3 linked regions of the Lonchura striata genome follow. The protein of the gene in region 1 binds, or shares a complex with, the protein of each later gene. Links are inferred from orthologs where the notes say so. Each region holds a gene or a part of one and is shown in the gene's direction. Other genes may lie near its edges.

Region 1 (7,390 bases):
AGAAGCAGCAGAGATTATTCAGGCTGATGATTGAGAAAGCTAGGACTAGGGATGAAAATCCTGGAAGCCTGGGTTTGGGATGAAGTTTGCTGAGCTCTTTGTCAGAGGAAAAGGGGAAATATAGATCTGTATGTGCTCATTACATAGACTCATTCTCCTCATTTCCAGCCCTGCTTTTTCTGCTGGAAGTTGCAGTTTCCACAGTATGAGAGGTTTACACAGCTGATGCTTTCACACTGGAGCCTAGAAGATCACACCTGACTCATTGATCTCCTGCTAACCCTTTGTGTGAGAAAGTGACAGATAAGAGGTTCCCAAATTGTGCTGATTCTGCACTTTCCTGTAGGATGAAGTCTTGCCCCGACTCATTCAAAAGTTTCTGGAAGAACAATCCCCCAGTGTGTTTATTGATTTCTGCAGTCTTGGCTATTTGTGTAATCCCATGCAAATCAAGAGTCAGTGTAGCAAAGGGCCAGAGCCTACAAAAGAAGTTAATTTTCAGCTTGCTTTGTTTGTAGTCATGTTTCTTTGTGTTCCACTCCCTTCTGCCATCAAATGGATGTGCTTTTTGGATATTGCTTCACTACAGAGGCTGTCATGTGCCAGAGGCTGCTCAAAGGATCCCAGGTCATGGCAGAATTCCATGGCATCTCCTGGCCTCAGGTGAGCAAGGGCTTCCCTGTGATTGTATCAACACCTGGCAGGATTCCTCAGTGAGCTATGGCATGGAGTGGTTGTTCTTTGCCAAGGCACAGAGAGGAAGAAGAGCTCTAAAATGAACACTGAGCTCTGTTGCAGCCAGCACTCACTGCTGTGCTCCTCTTCCTTCTCAATAATGATTCCTCTGCAACTATTCCTGGCTTAGTCTGCCTACAGACCCTTGAATGTCCTGTAACAGCTCTCTTCACAGAGACTAGCCTGACTTTACATATATAATATGCAGCATCAAATTTGCCATGGGGCCAGAATCAGGTTTTTCCTCTTACCTTATGCCTTGGAGGGCTTTTTAATAACCCTGATTTCCTGTGTTAGACTGGGCTGTAAGAACCATCCAGAATAAACAGGACAAGCTGACATGAATGTGGCTTTGAGAATTACAGACAAGTGTTGACTTAAAATTTAGGAAGGAACAGGTCATTTGGGAAAGACTTCACTTAGAAAACTTAAGAAAAATTGTATTTAAGGTAATTTAAATCTGCCAGAACTGAAACTGAACTACCAGTGGAAAGCAGGCAATCGAGAAATGTATGATAATGGTCATCTTTGACACACTTCCTTGCAAGATAATTTTTAAAATAATTAAGTTGTCATGCATTTCCTACAGTCAGACAAGTGACAGTTGTGGATCGTTGCAATGGTTAGGCACAGTTCAGCTGTGAACATTCAGCCTGTAAGTGTTCTGTGAAGCCAAGATGTTCCTGGCATTCCCCTGCTTGTATTTCCAGGTGCAGCCCCAGGACACTTCCCCATCACTGCTGAGGCCCTCGGGAACTTTGCTGATGAGAAGGCTGCTGGCAGAGACACACCTGCAGGATCGATGAGCTCTTACTAAGGCTGAGATCAGGCACCACCAGAAGAGCTGGGTGACTGCACAGCCACAGGACTTCAATGCTGCATGCCTGAATGAGATGTTAAAGCTAACAAGTAATTGTCTCTTAGGCAGATGCTACATATTTCAAATGCTTCTAGTTAAAGTATTTCCAGCAGCACTCCTGCTTCCTCTCCTCCTTTTTTTCCTGAGAGATGGCTGAGCTATTTCTTTCTTTGAATTCAACCTAAAACATAAAGAGAGTGATGCTGTTCCACTCTAGGCTGAAAGAAAACTTACTGTGCGCTGTCTTCCTTTTCAGCAAGATCATATTTTTTAACAGAACAACAAGGCTGCTGCCTTACCAGCTCCACCAACTCTGTATGGGCCTGTGATGAAAAACAGATCTGTTGCTGGGAATTTGCTATGCCTTAAATCTCACTGCCTGTCTCCTATCTGCAGGCAGAGGATGGCACGCTCTCTACATTCGGAGTGCAGTGACCACAGATCTCTTCAGAGCGGGCTCAGACACCACCTTCACTTTATGCTGAGCACTTCATGATGGTGTAGCTGGAAATCCAAGGTGGGAAATGTGTGTAGCTGCACGTGTGTTGTGTCCTTGCTCATGGCTCATGATTCAGCTACCCTGATCCTCCACTGTAAGATGGCTTAGGAATTTCAAGTTCTGCACAGAGTCTGCACATCAACAATTCTTGAATGCTCATTATTAGCCCTTTTTTTTTAAATTCAGAATGACTCCGAGAGGTGTCAGATGCTGTCATTTGCCCATCCTGTGGAATTGTATATAAGGACTGAACAGCCCTGCCATATGCAAAAGCAGCTTTACCAAGAGACTGTGTGTTACAGCAGCATGAGTGAACCCAGGGTTTGTGGGGACCCAGTACACCACACTGCAAGGCTTCCCTGTCACCGAGGTCTCTTAATGCCACTAAGCTTTGGGTACAACCCTTAGACAAACCAAAGTCAGGCATCACACCTATGTTTACATTTTTTCCCAGGCTGCAAAACTACCCAAAGGTGAGTTTGAACAGCTCATGAGGAACTCTTCACTGGGCATAGGATGCTGGATGTTATCTATGTGCTATAATATGAACAAATCTGTACTGAGTTTGCCTCTCTTGTTGCAGAGATGTTACTTTTACCATTTTTCCATACAGGATTTCAAGCTAGGTCAGTGTATAAAAGTATTAATATAATAAACTTTGGTTTCCTTTAAACTGGTACAAATGAAACATAAAACCCACAGAAATTTCAGGAATGTATATGCAATTTATTGTATTAGCGGAATACTTTAAATCCCTATCCAACCTGATGTAGGTCATCTTCCCAATAAGACCTATGTGGTTTTGCGGGAAGATCAGAATCCAAGCTGGGGGTTTTGATCAGTGTGAAGCCTTCACTTCTGTGGGGTTTAGTGGTGTTCTTTCTGTTTTAAGTTTGATAACTGTAATTACTGTATCCTTTGGTGCTCTTTAGGAGTGCCTAATAATTTCTAAATAAGCTATTAGGTAGGAAATAACAGAGTGTGACCCTGTTTCTCACCCTGTAATAATTACTTGGCACTTGTATTGGGCAATTTTAAGAGAGTGATTGATATCTTGGCAATTTTTATGAAAAGGATCTCTTTATGAACAGGTCTCCATAGCGATTTGTGTAACACATTATTTCTGAAATATTTTGGTAAACTGCTGGTCTTCAGAGCACACAGATCCCATTTGGGGATCCCTTTTGTTACCAACCAGGAAATTCTGTATGAGTGTTTGAACTGTTTCTGCTACTAAATATTTCTAAATAATCTTCCGTGACTTCTAAGGTTATGAACACACGTCTGAGCCCTTAAGACAACCGGATGGGAAGGCCCATGGTAAGAATATTTAGCCTAGGGCTTGGGGGGCCCTTTCCCTGTCCTGCCATACTCCTGGGATTTCAGGAATATTGCTGAGACACTCATTGCCTTTGCTTTCAGATAGTAAGGCAGGAATAGCAGTGTTACATTGCTTTACAAGAATTAATACACTAACACACTATAGGATAGAGGATATGCAGTGCTTTACATATGGTTATACATACCATTTTTTTTTAATGCTCCTGATCCACAGACTTATGAGAGATATTAGTTGTTCAGCATAAATAAGTTTTAAGTAGACTGAGTTACACCAAGTTATAATACTGTGGATATAATACGGGGTTGTTCCTTTGCTTGCTTAGCATGAGTACCTAGATTACATAGGCAATGAATTTTTACTCTTTCCACATCACAAATTGATATAGAAACAGAAGCTACAGCACTCAGAACTCTATTTACTAACTCTGCCAGATAGCAGAAATTTGCAAATTTCAGAGATTTGCAAAGCACTGTGAAAATTCTGTACTCGGAGTAACGTGGGAACAGATTCGTGAAGTGCAAGGAGATGCTGAAAGAGGGACTATTGCCTTTATCCGCTATGAACTGTCTATTATCACTTCAGGAGCTTGCAGACTCATTACTGGGACTTTTTCCCATTTTCTGTGCCATCCCTCACTGCACATGAAGGAAACATCAATGGGGAGGGAGTCGAGCTGGGGTTTCCTGTTGCCACAGGAGGCAAGGTGGGAAAATTCTTAGAAGAGTAACTGTCTGAGTCCTCAAACTGTATTTACGGGAGCACAATTAATTGCACGGATAAGTTGAACTCTCTCCCCAGCCCGCCCCTCACGCCACACCCAAGATGGCGGCCGCGCCCTGAGGGGCGCTCCCGCCCCCGCCCGCCGTGCGCCGCGTTACGGCTCCGGGGGGAAACGCGGGCGGTGGTGGCGGAGCCGCCGGAAGCGGCGGAAGAGTTTCGCGGGCGGACTCAGCAGGGCGGAAGTCGCTGAGGCGGACGGGGGTGGCGGCGGCAGCGAGCGACGATGAACAACAAATTCGACGCGTGAGTGTCGCCCCCGAGCCCCCCGAGCGGCCCCCGGTGCGGGCCCTGCACCGCCCCGAGCCCCGCCGGCGCCTCCCGCCGCTGCCCCGGCGTCGGGCGGGCGAGACGCGATGAGTCACGGGGCTGCGCACAGCCCCGAACCTGCAGCCGGGGCCCGGCCTGGCCCCGAGGGGACGCGGGACCGGGAGGTGTGGGCGGTGGGCCGCTGGCAGGCCTGCACCGCGGAGTTGCGGACCGCTTTGTGGCTCTGCTTGTCTCGCTTTTTTCCGGCCCTTGGCAGGGAATGGGGCGGGCGGAGAGATCTGTGGGGTGCTGGGTGCTGGCGCGGTGTCTGCTCGTCCGAGGCGCTGCCTGTGCAGTGCTGGGGGCCGTGGGGAGCGGGGTGGGTAAGACTCGGCAGAGGTACGGTGAGAGGTCTTCGTGTGGGCCCCCTGAATAGCAGGGAACTTGAACAAGTAACCGGGGTTTCCTGTGGCAGATCAGTATCCAGCACAAACCACTTGAGTTTGTTCCAAAAAGCTGTTTCGTTGTTCACGTCAGCTTAAAAGTGCTTGCCCAAGATGCCTGTGATGGGCATGAAAGAAGAAGTAGTTTTTACTGTGTACGTTGTCAAGTGTAGATATCCAAACTGTGGTGGCCCTTGTACCACGGAGGAGCTTTGGAGCAGAGAACTACCTGGGCTTGGTATGGACCTTCTCAGCTGTGTGATGGCTCTCTTTGTTATTTTTCTTTACCAGATTGAAAGATGATGATAGTGGAGACCATGACCAGAATGAGGAAAATAACACACAGAAAGACAGTGAGAAGGAAAAGAACGATCGTGAGAAACCACAGAGTACTACCAAGAGGAAGGTATGGTGCTGGCATCTGCACTCCACTGCCAGGGCATGGTATGGGAGTGCTGGGGAGTCAATGCTCAGCTCAGGGATAAGGGAAAATATGTCTTGGGGGGCTGTGATATCAGTACGTTGCTACTGCTGCAGTGAAGACAGCAGCACTACGTTTGATTTTGGTAATTTGATGTCACTTTTGGAGGTCTCTCATCTGAGGGGTGAGTGCTCCCATCACTAACATAGTGGTACCCTGTCAGGCTTTTTAATGGAAATGAGTAATGAGGCTTTATTTTCATCCAAAAACAAATTTTGAAGAGGATGTGGGGAAAGGACTCATGTCTGACAGGACAGTAGTACCTTGAAGGTGGTTTAGCAGGCAGTGTTTGTGACACTCTTGAAACACCTTTTAAGATGTGTCCCTGTGTGTAAGGTAGCCTGGTGAAGAAAGCATTGTGTATATATCTCCCCTGGTTTGGTTTATTTTTATATCTTGTTCAGGAAAATTTCTCTGTCTGAAGTAATGCAACCCTTGTAAACTTGCCGAAGTCAAGAGGAAAGTAGAGATTTAAGCCCTGCGAACTCCTGTAACAATATCAAGTAGTACAAATAAGAGCTTTGATTGGGGTATTCTTTGTAAGTTTTGACTCCTGGCTGATGAGCTCTCATTAGCCTCTTTTGTGCTCATTAGAAGTATTTTTAATCAGAAATCAGTGTTTTGGAAATTAAAAAGTGATTGCTGCCCGCTGCTGGTGATGGGTTCTGCCAAAGCTGACATAACAAGTTCTTAGGTTAATCTTCCCAGAGCACTGGGGTGTTGGTTCCTTCAGGCAATTGGTGTCATCAAAGAGTTTAATTGCATTTGAATCATGATTCATTGTAAGTGGGGTTTATCATTCCCAGAGGAGGAAAGTGTCTTTTTTTTTTTCCCTTAATTTGAAAAAGTTCAAGGTCTCACATTTCCTTTTTAGTTGTTTTTTTTTTTTCCCTTTGAGACAGGCACAGGACTAAAAAGAATTCATCCACGATACCTCTGATGGCTCGAATGGTTGCTTTTATATGCTGTAAATGCAATTTTTCCCTTTTTAGAGGAGCATGCGAGGGGTAAACAAGCTTTTGTGTCCTGCAGGCTGTGGTGCCGGGGCCAGCTGAGCACCCCTTGCAGTACAACTACACCTTCTGGTACTCGCGGCGCACCCCCGGGCGGCCCACCAGCTCGCAGAGCTACGAGCAGAACATCAAACAGATTGGCACCTTTGCCTCCGTGAGTACCCCCTGCCAGCCCCTCCGCTGGGCACAGCCTGCTCCCCGTGCCCCGTGCCCTGCTCCCCGTGCCCCACTCCCCCTGCCCCGTGCCCTGCTCCCCGTGCCCCGTGCCCTGCTCCCCGTGCCCTGCTCCCCGTGCCCTGCTCCCCGTGCCCCGTGCCCTGCTCCCCGTGCCCCACTCCCCCTGCCCCGTGCCCTGCTCCCCGTGCCCTGCTCCCCGTGCCCTGCTCCCCGTGCCCCGTGCCCTGCTCCCCGTGCCCCACTCCCCCTGCCCCGTGCCCTGCTCCCCGTGCCCTGCTCCCCGTGCCCCGTGCCCTGCTCCCCGTGCCCCGCTCCCCCTGCCCTGTGCCCTGCTCCCCCCGTGCTGCCTCTGTGCACGCACAGGCCCTGCTCCTGGTTTGCCAAGGCAAATGAGCTCTTGAATTGCAGCAGGAGATGTGCGTTTAGCACTTCTCCTCTGCCCTGTGCTAGACCTCTGTGGTATAATGAGAAAAAAAAAAAAAAAAAAGAGTAGCCATGTCATTTATTTATGGCTGGAGCATGAGAAGAAAGGAACAGCTTTTCTGTTCCATTTCTGTGCTGTCCCTCACGCACTTCACCCACATTCCCATCACAAAAGCTGTGTTTGGAATAAACATCTGGCACGCTGTATTTACCAACAGCTGGTGACCTGTTGTCTCTCTGGAAGTGATGGACAAGGTGCCGTTTGATGTTGCAGTCAAGTTCATTAAAAGGCATATTGCTCTTCCTTTCTTCCTCCACTCTGTGGTTACTTGTTCCTGGAATAAACTTGAGCGTGTCCTGGACAGGCGGTCTTGGGTTTTTGCATGGTGCTG
Region 2 (6,974 bases), about 11 Mb from region 1:
TATTCATCTATATTTTATATAGATGAATATAAATATATATATTCATATTCATCAATATAAATATTTTATCCCATGTATCTCTGCTCTATGCCAATACATTCACTGTGTCTATGAATCCTCAGGTCTCAGAGGTCAGGTAATATCTGGGTGAAGGTTCCTTAGTCTCTATTTCCCCAGGAAAATTGTGACACTGCAGCTCTTGATTTTTATTTTGGGGTGGTTTTTTTTTGTTTTTTTGTTTTTTTTTTTTTCTTTACAGCATAGCAAGCACTGCTGAGTTGTGCTGCTTTGCACATGCAGCTGGGTAAGGAGTCCAAACCTGCAGGAGAAGAGTGTGAAAAAAGGCTTTTCAGTGGTTTTATTTTAATAGAATTAAGTCAACTCTAGCTGACAAGTTTCAGTAAGGAAATTATCATTGTCTATGGTTTTGTTCAATTCAAACTGGTGCTGCTAGTTGGGACCTGCATTCAGTGCAATGAACAATAAGTGCTTTTGGACGTGCATTTATTTGGAAGTTGCAGAAATGTGCGTTTTGACATCAGCTTTGCAAAAATGGACATTAGGAAATGAATCACTTTCTAAATTGTTCTGTTTTACTGGCAATTATTTGATTTGATAACAGTGTCATTAGATTGTGTAGAAGTACTAAAGAGAAGTTGTCTAGCTGTATCTCCCACCTAAAACCATGTGAAAACACTTAGTTGTATTTACCTGTAATTTATCTACTACATCCTTGATGCTCTGTTCTTTTATGCCTGAGTCACCACAGGTGGCTCTCAAAGGTCCTGGCAATCCCAGCTCTTTAGTGGTGCCTGCTGGTATATTAATGCCTCTCTGGTATTTCTGACATGCCACAAGTGACTCTTAAGTTGGTGGCGGCAAGTAGAGAAGCTTGATGAAAAACTTGTTGCACTTGGTGGTCTTTCTCAGAAGGGATAAATACTTGCCTCAAGTCATTCATCTAGAATGGGAACTTCAGGTAGTCCTTGATCTCTGATGGGATTTTGTTTAACAAAACATTAGTTTGCCCAGAGTAGGCAAAATGCAAGACAGGAGTCACTAGCACTTCAGCCAGCACCAAAGGTGGGTTCAGCCTGTCTGGATGCTCAGATTGCAGTGGATTTCTCAAGGATGCTCCTGTCACAGTCATTGCCATTGGCTGCAGCGGACAGCCTATGGCAGCAGGAAGTCTCACCTGAAGAGCTTAGTGTGGTCACAGTGCAGAGAAAGAGAAATGGTGTGATCAAGTTCTTCCTGGCACAGGGTTTGGGGTTTATGTGTGAGGATTAAGGTGACAAAATAACACTTCAACCTTATGCGAGTGTCCAAATAAACCCAAGACATTCAGAAGTAATTGGGTGTTGCAGAAGTAGCAGCTTGTTTGTGGTACTCTGTCTTTCAGTACAAGCCACCTGAGGTGACAAATGCATTGAAGTGACTGACTTTAAAAACTGCAGTTGGATGTTTGCCTGCTTTGCTGCTGTTTTCATTATTTTTAGGGATGTGACAAATGAGGACATGGAAAACAGAGGCTGCTGAGAACATATTGACTCTTCCCAGACAAAATCCCTGGTTATTTCAACAAGCAGGGGAACCACTTTTCCAAGTAACAAAATGCAGGAGTGGCAAGGGGAAACATGACTCTGACACATTCTTCTGGGCTGCTTTGTGATCATTATTTATCATTTCAAAGCTGTGTTCTGTGTTCATAACTCGACCAGTGTACTGAGGGAGGTGGGCTCTTGCCTCCAAGCCAGAATGGATGAAAACAAGGGGTTAGTAAGGAAAGCTTGTAGTTTGTTGGGGAGGCAGCTTCCCTGTTCTTGGGTTTTTAATAGTGTGAATGAATTGGCACAGTAATCCAGGGCTCTGAAGTACATTATGCCCTTGGTACCCAGACTGGCTGCTGGGGTGATTTCACACCTACACAATATCAGCTGACATTCTGTCATTGAGCCAGTCAGGAATTTTACCACACGGGTACAGTCTTGAATTTTCATGAGATTCTCTCTGTTTTGCTTGAATGAGTTGTGGAAGATTTAAGATGCATCTGCTATTACCAAAAGATTGTCATCTGAGTTTCCTTAGAGGTATTTTACAGAAATGCCAAGTTCTGCAGATTAGGAATGTTTCAGATGCTTCTTGAATTTGAATTTTTTTGTCTCAGTAATATAATGTTTGTGCTAACTGGGATTAAAAAAATTTCCACAAGTGCTAAACATCTTCCATCTCAGATAAAAGTTGTCTTAGAGCATGTGAAAATATTTTTGAGTGCTCAAACTCACATTTGATAAGTAGAATAACAAGGCACAGCTGCTTCTGCAATGAAATTGGAAGTTCTCACTGACAGCTTGAAATGCAGCACTGTCTCTCTCTATCATTATTAGTATTGGCTCAAACTGTGTGACAACAACCAGGGGGATTGAATGCAGCTTATCAGAGGCCAGCCCTTTTCTAGGGAGCTTTGCTTTTCCATACCAGCCTCCTAATGGAGAAATTCCATTCTAGATTTTTTGGGTGAGGTAGTCCTATGTAGCTCTCAGCTAAAAATAAGCCCCAAGAATTACAGGCTTTCAACCCATTAGCTCATAAGAATCAGTAGTATTCACTGTTGCATCATTTTTGGCTATCATTCAGTACACAATGACAAGTATTTATTCACCTAGAAGAGGATGGAGAAAGCTACATGGGTTGTGGCTGACATCATGATTAGAGTGAAACTGTTTCAGCTGAAAACGGTTATACCTTCAGCAATGCGTAACAGCCAAGAATAGTTTTTTACGCTGAAGGAACCACATGGGGCTATTCTGCCTCATGTACTAATATGGGTTTGGGGACTAAAAATAAACTGGTATTTTTAGCTGAAGAAAGTTTGCCTTGAGCTGCTGATTTTTCCATCAGAAGAGTCAAAATATGTATCATCTAATGCGCTTTCTCTTTTCAGCAGCAACAGCAGCTGCTGCCACTGCCTCCCAGGGTGACTCCCACGGCAAAGTGTCCTCAGGGCTCCTCCAGTGCCCGGGCAAGAGCAGGTCTAGCCCTCGGTGCCTGGGCACTGTGTGCTCACACATGGTGGCTTCTCACAGAGATTGTTGTGGCCATCGATAAAATGGAATTGCCTCATGGAACCACACAGAAGAAACAGATAAGGCTGGGAGCCACACTGCGCTGCTGAGGCCGCCTGTGTGTATGTGTGAGAAGGTGGCAGAATCACGGAATCATCCAGGTTGAAAAAGACCTCTGAGATAATCGAGTTGAACCTGAGACTGCTCCCCACCTTATCACCCAGACCAGGGTGCCAAGTCCAGGTATTCATTGAGCACCTCCTGAAACAGGGACTCCACCACCTCTCTTAACAGCCCCTTCCAATGTCTAATCACCCCTTCTGTGAATAATTTCTGTCTAGTGTCTAACCTAAACCTCACCTGCTGCAGCATGAGACCACGTTCTCCTGTCCTGTCCCCGTTCCCTGGGAGCAGAGCCCAGCCCCCGGCTGCACCCTCCTCCCACAGAGAGTTGTGGAGGGCAGGAGAGGCCCCCCTGAGCCTCCTTGTCTTCAGGCTGAGTCCCGCCCCCAGCTCCTTCAGCTGCTCCTCGTCAGACTGGTGACCCTTCCTCAGCTTCGTTCCCTTCTCTGGACGTGCTCCAGCCCTTAATATCCTTCCGGAATTGAGAGGCCCAAATCTGGAGAGCGGACTCAAGGTGCGGCCTTACCAGTGCCGGGTGCAAGGGGAACTGAGGCAGCGGTTCGATTACCGGGGCTGCGGGCAGGGCGGGAGGCGCGGGGACCCCCGGCCCTGCCATCTCCCTCAGGGCTGGGGGGGCCGCGGCGGGCCCGCGCGGCCGGCAGGGGGCGCTGCAGACCCGCCCCTCTCCGGGATGACGTCACACGGGGGCGGGAAGCGCCTCTGCTTCATCCGGGTCCCGCGGCGGGGCCGGGGGGCGTGGCCTCGCCCTCACGTGACGCTGCGTGGCGGCGCACCCGCCATCTTGTGTTGTTGGGTTGAGGAGCCGCCGCGGCTGTGAGGGACTCTCCGCCCGGGAGCGCAGGTAACGCCGTCCCGCCGCCGCCCGGCCCCGCCGCTGCCCCGGCCGTCCCCACCACGCCCCCGCCGTCGCGCGCCCCGTCTGACCACCGGCCCTGCCGGCGGCTCCCGTCCGCCTCGGCTGCCGCAGCACCGAGGCGCCCCGCGGCCTAACCGGGAGGCGAGGCCGCCCAGGGGGGTGGGGGGGTGCGCCTGGAGGGCCCCCCCGCGCTCCCCATGGGCCTCTGCAGGGGTCGTTGGAGCTGGGGCGAGCAGGCCTTGAGCTCTCCGTGCAGGTCCTTGGTACTTGTCAGGCGGCGGCGGGGCCGCTCCTCACCGCCCTCCGGGGCCGTCTCCCCTCGCACTGACCCTTGTGAACTCGCTCGTCCCCTCCCAGCCCAGCGGGAGCGCCGCGGTGAGCCCCGCTTCGAGCACGCCCGGCCCTGTCGGGTTACACTGGCCGAGGAAGGAGGGAGCTCCGAGCCTTCCCCCGCGCAGGCAGCAGGGTGCTGGGAGCAGCGGTGACCGGCAGTGTTTGACTGGAGAAGCCTTGGCAGGCTGAAGAGAGCATCGATCAGAATTGTGTACGTTTGGTATTGATCCAAGACAAGTAGTTTCAGTGTCAACAGAGCACTTATGGCTCTTGCAGTTCTCTATGATTGCACTTTGAATTGACACAAGGTGTAGGCACAAAAGAGGTATTGCCCACTAGTGCTTCTGCAATAAAAATCCACATTTCCCCTAGTAACATTCAGTTCAACGTTTGTGGTGTGCTGCTTTTACTGTAATTCTTGAATATCTGTTTGCTTGGGTGGGTGGGGAAAGGACTTTTGGATTCTGATTATATTCCTCTAACTTCTTGCTGCACGTTTTATTTTTCTTGCTTCAGGAGCTGACTTGGGCAAGTTCCTGGAAAGTACGTGTGAATTTTTTTTCTTATGACTCTGCTGGTTGCTTTTGTTCTTAAGAAACTCTTCAATAAACAAAAATTAATTTGCTGTTATGTGAATGGAGCATTTGGTTGATACACAATGTGATAATTGGAAAACTTTGTAAACAAAATTGGTTGCAGTTGTCGCCAACAAAAGCTTTGTTTTGGTGTTTTTAAGTTTTGTTATTGGGTGGTGACTGCAGTAGATAATAAGAGCTTTATTGCAATGAGGTATTGGTTTTCTTGCCATGCATTTGAATAGGTATCCTATGAGCAGCTAGCTGATGCTGGTGTGAAAATGTGTGACCTAATTAATCCTGGGGGTGCCAGCAGAAATATTGAGTGTCCATGGCCCCTTCTGCACCTGCTTTGCTCCCCAGGTTCATGTAGTTCAACAGGTCAGTTGATGTCAGTGGTTGTGTGTTGGTGTTAATTTCTGAATGAATGTGTGATTAAAAAAAAAATAAAGTTTCTGTCTAATAGTCTGCTGGATTAAAGAGAAGGCAGAATTTTAGTCCTGGAAGTTGGATGTCACCTTTTATGTTGAGACTTTGATAAACTGTTTCAGTGTCTGACAATATTGTGGGTAAATACTGGGGTTGAATGGCTTAAAGAGCTTCTCAGGTTCTCCCAGCCCCCGGATACAGGAATATGCCTGAGGACACCTGGTCACTGCATTTCTTTTGGGGCCTTTTTCTGAATGGTTTCTTGAGCCTGTGTTTTAAAGCAGGAGCATAGAACTAAAATTTAGTGTGTTTTTGGAGAAGCAATTATTTGTTTCACAGGGTGCTTAAAAAAAATTTGATACCACAATGAAAACTTGGACTGTTTCTTTTTTAATAGGTGTTGACCTTGGCATTGTAAAATATCCTGAGGTACTCCTATTAGCATTTCTGCTTCTGTTTCTAAAATATACATTAAACTAAAGCTATGAGCCCTGTGATTATGTAAGTGAAAAAAAAAGTTTGTAGACAGTTGAGGGCTTTGTAATTAATTTTTTCCTTCCTGTTTTACTATTCAGTTTAGGAAGAAAGCTGTGTAAAAAGGGAATGCAAAGTAGGTTTTGGGTTTTTTAAGGAATTGAACCTAAGCAGCACTCTGTATCTCTCTGCTAAGGCCAGTTGTCTGAATGAAGTTCTGCTACAAACTGGAGTTCTTCATACCTGGATGTAAAAAAAAAAAAACACCAGCAGTTTTTTAAGCTCTATATATACTTCATTAAAATAAAAACAACCCTAGATGTCAAGAGTCCCATGGAACAAGTTGTTGGGACAGCTGAGTGGCTGAAGGCTGTGCTGGTACATCCCTCTGCTGAAAGATCTTTCTCTTTAAACCTCGAAGAGAAAACACTGGTTCACAGTAGCTGGTGAAGATGAGCTGTGCACTAAGATCTGTGCTTTCCCCTTTCCCCCCCAGCTCTGTTTATTTATTTTGATTACTAAGAATGTGAAATTTGATTTTGCCTACTTTTGTCTGGTCTTGCAAGTTCAAGTAACTGTCATATATATGTTTCTTATTCTTTCATTGAGGTCTTCAAAATTCTTCCCTCGGACTCTTCGAAGTATGGTATTAAGTTCTCTCATAATCTGATTTAGCAAACAAAAAATCCATTTCCTAGCAGTTTTTTCTTAATTTTTATTTTTTTATTAGTTTTTTCCCCTTCAGTGCTTCTGCTCAAATATTAGTGGAGATAAACTATACATAATTCATGATTATAGATGAAGCCATGGGGCAAAGCAAGGGAGCTTTCTCCCTACAGAGCTTGCTAGAGAGCCATTGGATGCCTTGGTGAGGAGAAACCTTTTTCTTTGTTTACTGAGGAAGCATTTGCCTTGAAAGAGACTCTTGCTTTGTGTGGTTTTCTCATCAATTTATATTAATTCATAGAGTGACATTTGAAATGCAAGGTGTGTGAAATGCTGCAGGGGGATGGGGTTTGCTCTTTCAGGAACGAAGTCAGTTTCCAGCCCAGCTTAGCCTCTCCTTGTGTCTCTTGCTCTCAATTCTGGACCTTTTTT
Region 3 (7,262 bases), on another chromosome or scaffold:
TTACAAAAACCAAGGATGCATCCAAGATCCAAAATTTTGGCAAAAAATATATCAATGTGATTTTTAACATGGTATTAAAGGACAGTCAAGAACATGTGATTTTAATTTTTTCTTAGTTTATCATCCCTCTTCCTCACTACACAAAATAGCTATCACTTAATTTTTCTTGTAAAATGACCGGTGCCTCACTGTTTGATAACCTATAAACAGGAAATGGAAGGTAGGGGCTTGGGATCCACATCTCACAGCTGAGTCATAAGACAAGAGTGGAGACCAGAATGGGAGTCACATCTGCAGACAGCACATCTTTTTCTGAGACCATTATCCAAAATAAAAGCTTTAAATGAAAAACAACAAGAGTTTTAAGTGCAAATCCTACTGGAAAAGAGAATCACAGAATAGGAAGAATCTGCTGTTATATGGTGAAGCAGGGGTAGTTCATCCTAAAGGTAGGAGTTTGGAAAAGTATCTTAATCCTAGATACATCAATTCATAATTGATTAACAAATCACATGTCTGAGCTCTACAAAAATAACATAGGAAAGCGCTGAGTTTGTTTGGATGCATGCACACTTATTACTTTTTATGATGTGAGACAAAATATTGCTGGCTCAGCTATACATGCTAAATGCTAAAACATTTAACCAAGTGAACTAGGGGTAAAATTGAGATGCGGGGAAAATGAGACATGAGTATGGTATGTTTGTTATGAAGAAGGAGAAAGCCAAATCTTGTTTTACTGAAGGGAGGAAAAGCCAGGGAGGGAGGGAAGGGAAAATCACCAGCATCACCCTCCTTTTAAAGGCTCAAGGACTCCTAGTACAAGTCTATTGCTCATCTGATGTCATGGAGTGAAACCTGGTTTGAAGTTTCACCTGGAATGCATAACCTCTCATCTCAGCACCTGTAACTATGAGCAGTGAAACTAGTTGTCTCCTGCATTTTACCCTTATTGTTCTTTACACAATGCACCTTTATTCTTTACTCAAAAAACCTGCCTGGCCCTAGAGAACAATTTGACCCTGAGTAATTTGAATGTATTATCTGCACTGCTGCAGGTATTAACTGGGTGAGAGGGGAAAGTGAAGAGGACCTGCATTCTGGGGGACAGAAATGGGATGAGGCTGTCTCCGTGATGTGTGTTTTCAGCTTGCAATGGTTCTGGGATTTCTGCTGTTAGTGAGAATTTTCTCCCTAGCATGCACAAGCATGTATCTCTCCTGCAATAGCAGAAACAAGCCCAGTATTTGGGGAAAATTTTAGATGCATGAAGACTACAAACAATAGTGGCTGTACACAAAGCCATCATGGATATACCACCAAACCAAAATTGTCTTTTTTTTTGTGTGAAATACCAGTTATTTTTCTTGACCTCCTAAAAAGATAAATATTTTAATAAGTCACCAGAAGCTGAAGTAATATCAAAATTCAAGGCTTATATTTCACGTTCTTCACATGTTCCAGTTTTAATCAGGGTTTCAGTTATTTTCACAATATTTACATTTAATATCATTTTTTTTTATTCACCTTCACACATTTTTCAGTTTCTAAATATGCATTTCTACAACTGTTATACTAGACTTCTAAAAAGTTTACTCCTTTGTTACATTAGCTCAGGAGAAATTAATACTAGAGATGACTGAACAAAAGTATGTCAGTTCTTAAACATGAGATTCTTATATTTGTATGTTTTCTTAATTTTGAGATAATAACTCTTTGCTTGAAGTGGGCTTATGGAAATCCATTGGACCTGGAATTCAAATGATATGTGTTGAACTCTCAACATAAATGGGTGGCATTCATACAATTTTATTTTCAAATTCAGAATTTGTGAAATTAGCAAATACTCTACAGTGAATAGAGTTGATTTAATGTACACAAATATAAACAAACCCAGACATTTTACAGAAAGCCTAGTGCTGCATTACAAGTCAGATAGTTTCCCTCGAGCAGCTGATGCAAGTAAATGGTGTACATGTGTTACACTCATTGCTCTAAATTTGTATTTGCACTTTGATTTAACTTTAATGTTTGGTTTTCCTAAATGAAATATAAGCCAAGTAACCCCACAATTCCACTAGAAATTTCTGACCACTTTTTTCCCAACAAACTTCTCATGATCCCAAAACATCTATTCATTTTTGATAATCATTAAAGCACACTGAAATAAATTTTCACTATTAGAGCATGGCTGAATTTAGCTGTACATCATTAATTGCACTGCTTAAGAGCGAAGTCAGTAAAGCATTCACTTAGTTTTGTGCTTTTTGCCATGAAACCTACTTCCTAAAGCCAAGAGCTGAGCGGAATTTATGTCTCAGCAGATCAGCGTGTTTCTCTGCTGCCATCTTCTGGCACAATAGACAGTTCTACAGTTTCCCAATCGCTTGTGAATAGTTTTTTCTCTTGAACACCATCAGTATATGTTTTTGTTCCATTTTGGCATAATATAATTTATCTATAAGTTTTGCAATGTTCTGTCTCTTAGGCACTTGTAAGTTTTCCACCTGAAAAAGATTTTAGGAGATTTGCAAATATAAAGATTAGTATTATAAAACAAATGCCCTTTGTATTACTCAACATTGTATTTCTACAAAAGATACTACATATATTGTTACATTTAGCTGTTTAATAAATGTTTTTGCCAATATTTATGCTGTTCATTCAGACAACAAATGAACTATCCAGATCTAGGCCTAATTCTGTCTTTAAGTTCTTACTTACTACACCTTCCCATTTTAATAATAGATTAAAATACTTGCATTATTTTCTAAGCTCCTCCATTTGTGGAGAAATAGCCCAGTGACATTCTCTCAACCATCCTTCACCACTAGATAACGACATATTTGAAAGCTATATAAAACATCCTTTTTTTTTTTTTTTTTTTTCTGAACATTTGTCTCATAGCACTTAAGTTCATGGAGGATAAGGTGCCCCAATACCCACCTGGGAACATTTTACACACTCTAAACTCCCCAATCACTGCTGCAGATGAAGAGAAGGCAGCTACTTCAGGAGGCAGAAGGGGTGTTGGGTCCTCTGCTGGCAGCAGAAGTCCATGGCAAGACCTGACCCATGATTTACGCTTTTCTAAGGATGTTATGCCAGGATTTCCTGAAAACACAGAACCTGGTAATGAACATCTTGCTTAAACTGAATGAGTTCACTGGTAGTATGCCTAAGATTACCAAACACACAAAAGACCTTGGGACTGGCCACTCTGGGAGTCCACAGCCACCATGAGGTTGTGCTGCAAGATAGTAACCTTCCTAAATGAAAATATAATTGTTATTATAACCTGAGAACAAGAGGAAAGAAGAGAAAGATGATTGCAGAGCAAAAGCCATGCCCGAATATCACATCTTTTCCTTAGAGGCATCTGTAGCTTCCAAGCCACTGAGCTGAGGCTTCCCTGGGGACAGCTGCAGATGCTCCTGCAGTTCAAGTCTGACAAAACCACCTCAGAATCTCTTCTACATATTTTTCGTCCTCCCGTGGGAAACCAGACAGTGGTCAACACGATTTTTTTATTTCAGTTTAGTCTCTTTCACAAAGAGGACTCCCAATTACTGATCCATCCTTGACTGAACCTCTGTGTCAGGGGGAAAGGTAGCCAGGTACACCCTGGGCTCTGGAGTGAGTCCAGAGAAGGGCAAAGGAGCTGGGGAAGGGTCTGGAGCACAAGTGTGATGAGGAGCAGCTGAGGGAGCTGGGGCTGTTTAGAGAAAAGGAGGCTCAGGGGAGACCTCATCGCTCCCTACAACATCCTGACTGGAGGGTGTTGCCAGGTGGGAATCCACCTCTTGCCCCAGGCAACAACTGTGAGAAGTGGACCGTCTTCAGCTACGTCGTGGGAGGTTTATGCTGGACATTAGGAGGTATTTCTCCGCAGAAAGGGTGATTCGACACTGGAACTGGCTGCCCAGGGGGGTGTTGGAGTCACCGTCCCTGGCGGTGTTCAAGCAAAGCCTGGACATGGCACTTAGCGCCATGAATGAAATCTGACAACATGGCGTTCGGTCACAGCTCTGATCTCGGGGATCTTTTCCAACTGAATTGATTCTATGATTCTTCCCGCGACAGCGAGCAGGGCGCGGACAGCCGGGGCCGCAGGGCGGCCGCTCGCCCCGCCGGGCCGTGCCGGGCCGGTTGCATCAGCCGCGGCCCACCGGCGCCTGCGCCAGCCGCGCCCGCCCCTTCCCGCGCGGCTCCGCGGCCATGGCGGGCGCTGACAGCCAGGTGGGCTCCGCGCCGCCCTCGGCAGAGGGCAGCCGGGCCTCTTCCCCTGCGCCTCCCCAGCTCCTGGGGGCGGTGGGGTGTGCCCCACGGAACCAGGGAGCTGGGGGGGACGAGGAGGTCGGGTCTTTCCCGTCTTTTCCGGGTCTTTTCCGGGTCTTTTCCGTGGGGCAGGGAGGAGTTAAAGCACCTTAGGTATGAGGGACTGCCGGGGCATGACTTAAAGGGTGCTCGCCCTTCGCAGGTGGTCGCTGGGGAAGAGAAGAAAGCTGACTGCGGGAAGAAGAAGATGAAGGAAGGGGCTGGCGATGGAGGGCGGTCGGAGGTAAGCAGCCCCTGGGCCGCGGCGGTGGGAGGATGCGGAGTCCTCGTTGCTGCCCTGTGCGCTGCTGGCTCTGCTGCGGCTCGTCCTTCTGAAGTATTTTATCGCGCGTTACAGTAACACCCCGACAGCGTGCCTTGTAACGCCATTGCTGGTGTTTGCATTAAGTTGCGTCGGTGTAATAGGAGAACAGCTCAGATTCCCATAGCTGGGTTAGGTTTATGCTTTTCCCTGTGCCTCTCTGCAGTGGAAAGCAGGCAGCATATCGCCAAGGTGAAGAAAGCTTTCTTAAGGCGGTTTCGTTTTTCTCTTCGCGGTGGGTAAACACAGATCCCTTTGAGTCCACGGAGGGCCAGCTGCTAGCGCTTGCTCCTGGGCCAAGTGCATGGCTGTGCCCGGACGGATGGTCCTGACGTCATTACACGTGTTTAAACTGGAGTCAGTTCCTGTCCGGATGGCTCAGACTAGAGTGTTCCCTCAGCTTTTTGACCTAATAAGAAAAGTCTTGCTTTATGTCGAACTGACACAGTTTTCCTAGTTAACTTTTGTCCATGTGTAGTTTATTTGATGGTGTAGTTGTTTGGTAAGGTGGTTTATTGAACAGGTGTATGGTAGTACAGATTTCATTAAGCTGAACTGTGTGGTATGACATAGTTAGTACTATATAACCTGAAATAATGGTGATTATCTGTGTTACATATAGCACACAGATATCATCACGTAGTTGCTTATGAAAACTATATCTGTTGTATTGGCATTCTTGATATGATGTCTGTCATGTTAATATCTGATTAGTCATTTTCCTTTGTCTTTATTATGTACAGCTAAATCCTTGGCCTGCATTTATCAATGAGCGTTTGGAGATGTACAATAAACTAAAGGCTGAACATGACGCACTCCTTGCAGAAAGAGCTGCAAATGACAGTAAAACCATTAAAGTTACGTTACCCGATGGCAAGCAGGTTGATGCTGAATCTTGGAAGACTACTCCTTATCAAATTGCATGTGGAATTAGGTATGTTTCTGTTCTGTGATGCTACACAATCATTTTCAGACAGTTGAGTTTAAGGGGCTGGGTATTGTATAGTTTCTTTGTTATGTATCTCAAGTCTTCTCATAGCATCTTGGATGATGAACTGAAGGTAAACACCAGGGTTTTAGTTTTGGAGTGCAGTTTTCTTTTGCCTTATGCAGTTTCTAACATTAAATAAGAATAAAGCATTCTAACAGTGTATTTTTACATCCAAGTACTGCTGTTGCATTGAGAACTAATTTGCTAATAGATGGAATGTTAGCATTGCAAACCAATTTGCATTGACCTGAGGAAGATGACTGCTGAGTGATGTTTCAATTGACTACAGAAAAGTTTAACAATATGAGTATTCGTCACTTTAGTTTGCATGGGAGATATTTTTGAATCATTCACAGTGAACACCCTGACAGTTAACATTACAAAGATTGGGTGATTCCTAAAAGTGAAATGCCTCTCTTTTTCTTCTTTTTTTTTTTTTTTTTGTTTCCTGTCCATAATAAGGTGCCATATCATTGGAACCTCCTTTGTTTCTCTGATTTGGGATCATGAAAAGAGTATTTTGCCTAGTGGATATAAACAGTAAAGCTACTATGTCAAAAATGGTATTTGGTAGCTTTTAAGAGAGTGGTACTCTCTTATATTGCAACAGGACTGGGAAGTTAGGTTTGTACTTGGAGGATGCTGCCTCTAAGTCAAATGTGTGTGATAGTTAAGTATATAGCACAATTTGCTTCCTATATCCCTAAAATATAAGTAGGATTTTTCATCAATGTTCAGGACTGGCTAAACCGGTCATTTATTTTGAATTTATTATATCCACTCTGATGAGCACTCTAAAATCTTATTCAAACTGGAGGGCAAATCTGGGGAGCTTCTGCTTGCTGATTTCAAAATACCATGTACTTTCTTATAATTGTACTTCTGTGTTTGTTCTGTAGTCAGGGATTAGCTGATAACACAGTTATTGCCAAAGTGAACAAGGTGGTTTGGGATCTAGACCGTCCTTTGGAGGAGGACTGTTCCTTGGAGCTGCTGAAGTTTGAAGATGAAGAGGCTCAAGCAGTGAGTATCTTTTGCCAAAATGTTTTTTGTTCCAAGTTTACATTTGACTTACCTTCTTGCAGTTATTTAAATATTTAGTATGTTCACAAGATGAAGAAAAAGGGGTTTGTGGTTTAGGTACTTCTGCATTTTCTCACAGCTCCTTACTGGAAGAGTTGTGATACTAGAGATAATGTACATTCTGCTGTGTGTGACTTTTAGCAATGTCTGCTTGTGTTTGCTGTTAAAAATTTGTGTTTTCACCTGTCATGTTAATGTAAAGTAGGTATTTTTAACTGACGTCTTCAGCACTGATTTTGGGAACAAAACTGAGTACAAAAATACTTTCTATGTAGAATCATGAAAGTATTGAGTAGACTACTCTTTTTCCTTCTGTATGCAAAAGTATCTACTTTTTTATTTTGGCTACTCAATCAGATAAATGTGCCCAGCCAGTAAATTTAGGATTATGTTCTTTAGAAAAAAAATTAGTTTCTACAATAAACTGTCAGTCAAACTCATCACATAAGTCTTACATTCAAACTCAGGGTTTTTATATTGCTAAATGACAGCTCCCTATTTATGATTTCAATTTGTGCTAACTAAGGCAGACTGACTCTTAAAAAATTT

What was found.
Region 2: the proteins of EIF4E2 (region 1) and GIGYF2 are in contact, whole or in part, in a crystal structure (PDB 5NVM), measured with the Homo sapiens proteins. The link is inferred for Lonchura striata from reciprocal best matches to the Homo sapiens genes EIF4E2 and GIGYF2. Residues at the interface, in NP_004837.1 of Homo sapiens: His54, Pro55, Leu56, Gln57, Tyr64, Arg66, Asn81, Lys83, Gln84, Ile85, Gly86, Thr87, Val91, Glu92, Phe94, Trp95, Arg96, Phe97, Ser99, His100, Met101, Val102, Leu107, Phe113, Glu149, Asn150, Leu153, Leu156, Gly157, Glu158; in NP_001096616.1 of Homo sapiens: Leu38, Ala39, Asp40, Tyr41, Arg42, Tyr43, Gly44, Arg45, Met48, Leu49, Leu51, Phe52, Leu53, Asn56, Lys57, Ile58, Pro59, Asp61, Leu62, Asp64, Glu66, Phe67, Pro69, Ile70, Leu71, Gln72.
Region 3: the proteins of EIF4E2 (region 1) and TARS1 are in contact, whole or in part, in a crystal structure (PDB 5XLN), measured with the Homo sapiens proteins. The link is inferred for Lonchura striata from reciprocal best matches to the Homo sapiens genes EIF4E2 and TARS1. Residues at the interface, in NP_004837.1 of Homo sapiens: His54, Pro55, Leu56, Gln57, Val91, Glu92, Phe94, Trp95, Arg96, Glu149, Asn150, Leu153, Leu156, Gly157, Glu158, Gln159, Met161, Val203; in NP_001245366.1 of Homo sapiens: Pro51, Glu52, Tyr53, Ile54, Tyr55, Thr56, Arg57, Met60, Tyr61, Ile63, Leu64, Glu67.

What each region holds. Positions count from the first base shown.
Region 1 is NC_134612.1:18,512,805-18,520,194, reverse strand, and holds the start of EIF4E2 (eukaryotic translation initiation factor 4E type 2), read left to right. Parts: upstream 1-4,374; 5' UTR 4,375-4,438; coding exon 4,439-4,458; intron 4,459-5,195; coding exon 5,196-5,310; intron 5,311-6,417; coding exon 6,418-6,552; intron 6,553-7,390. UniProt on the Homo sapiens protein: Recognizes and binds the 7-methylguanosine-containing mRNA cap during an early step in the initiation. Acts as a repressor of translation initiation.
Region 2 is NC_134612.1:7,096,045-7,103,018, forward strand, and holds the start of GIGYF2 (GRB10-interacting GYF protein 2), read left to right. Parts: upstream 1-3,962; 5' UTR 3,963-4,050; intron 4,051-4,914; exon of another isoform or gene 4,915-4,941; intron 4,942-6,974. UniProt on the Homo sapiens protein: Key component of the 4EHP-GYF2 complex, a multiprotein complex that acts as a repressor of translation initiation. In the 4EHP-GYF2 complex, acts as a factor that bridges EIF4E2 to ZFP36/TTP, linking translation repression with mRNA decay.
Region 3 is NC_134642.1:38,636,733-38,643,994, reverse strand, and holds the start of TARS1 (threonine--tRNA ligase 1, cytoplasmic), read left to right. Parts: upstream 1-4,197; 5' UTR 4,198-4,218; coding exon 4,219-4,239; intron 4,240-4,480; coding exon 4,481-4,561; intron 4,562-5,382; coding exon 5,383-5,573; intron 5,574-6,529; coding exon 6,530-6,653; intron 6,654-7,262. UniProt on the Homo sapiens protein: Catalyzes the attachment of threonine to tRNA(Thr) in a two-step reaction: threonine is first activated by ATP to form Thr-AMP and then transferred to the acceptor end of tRNA(Thr).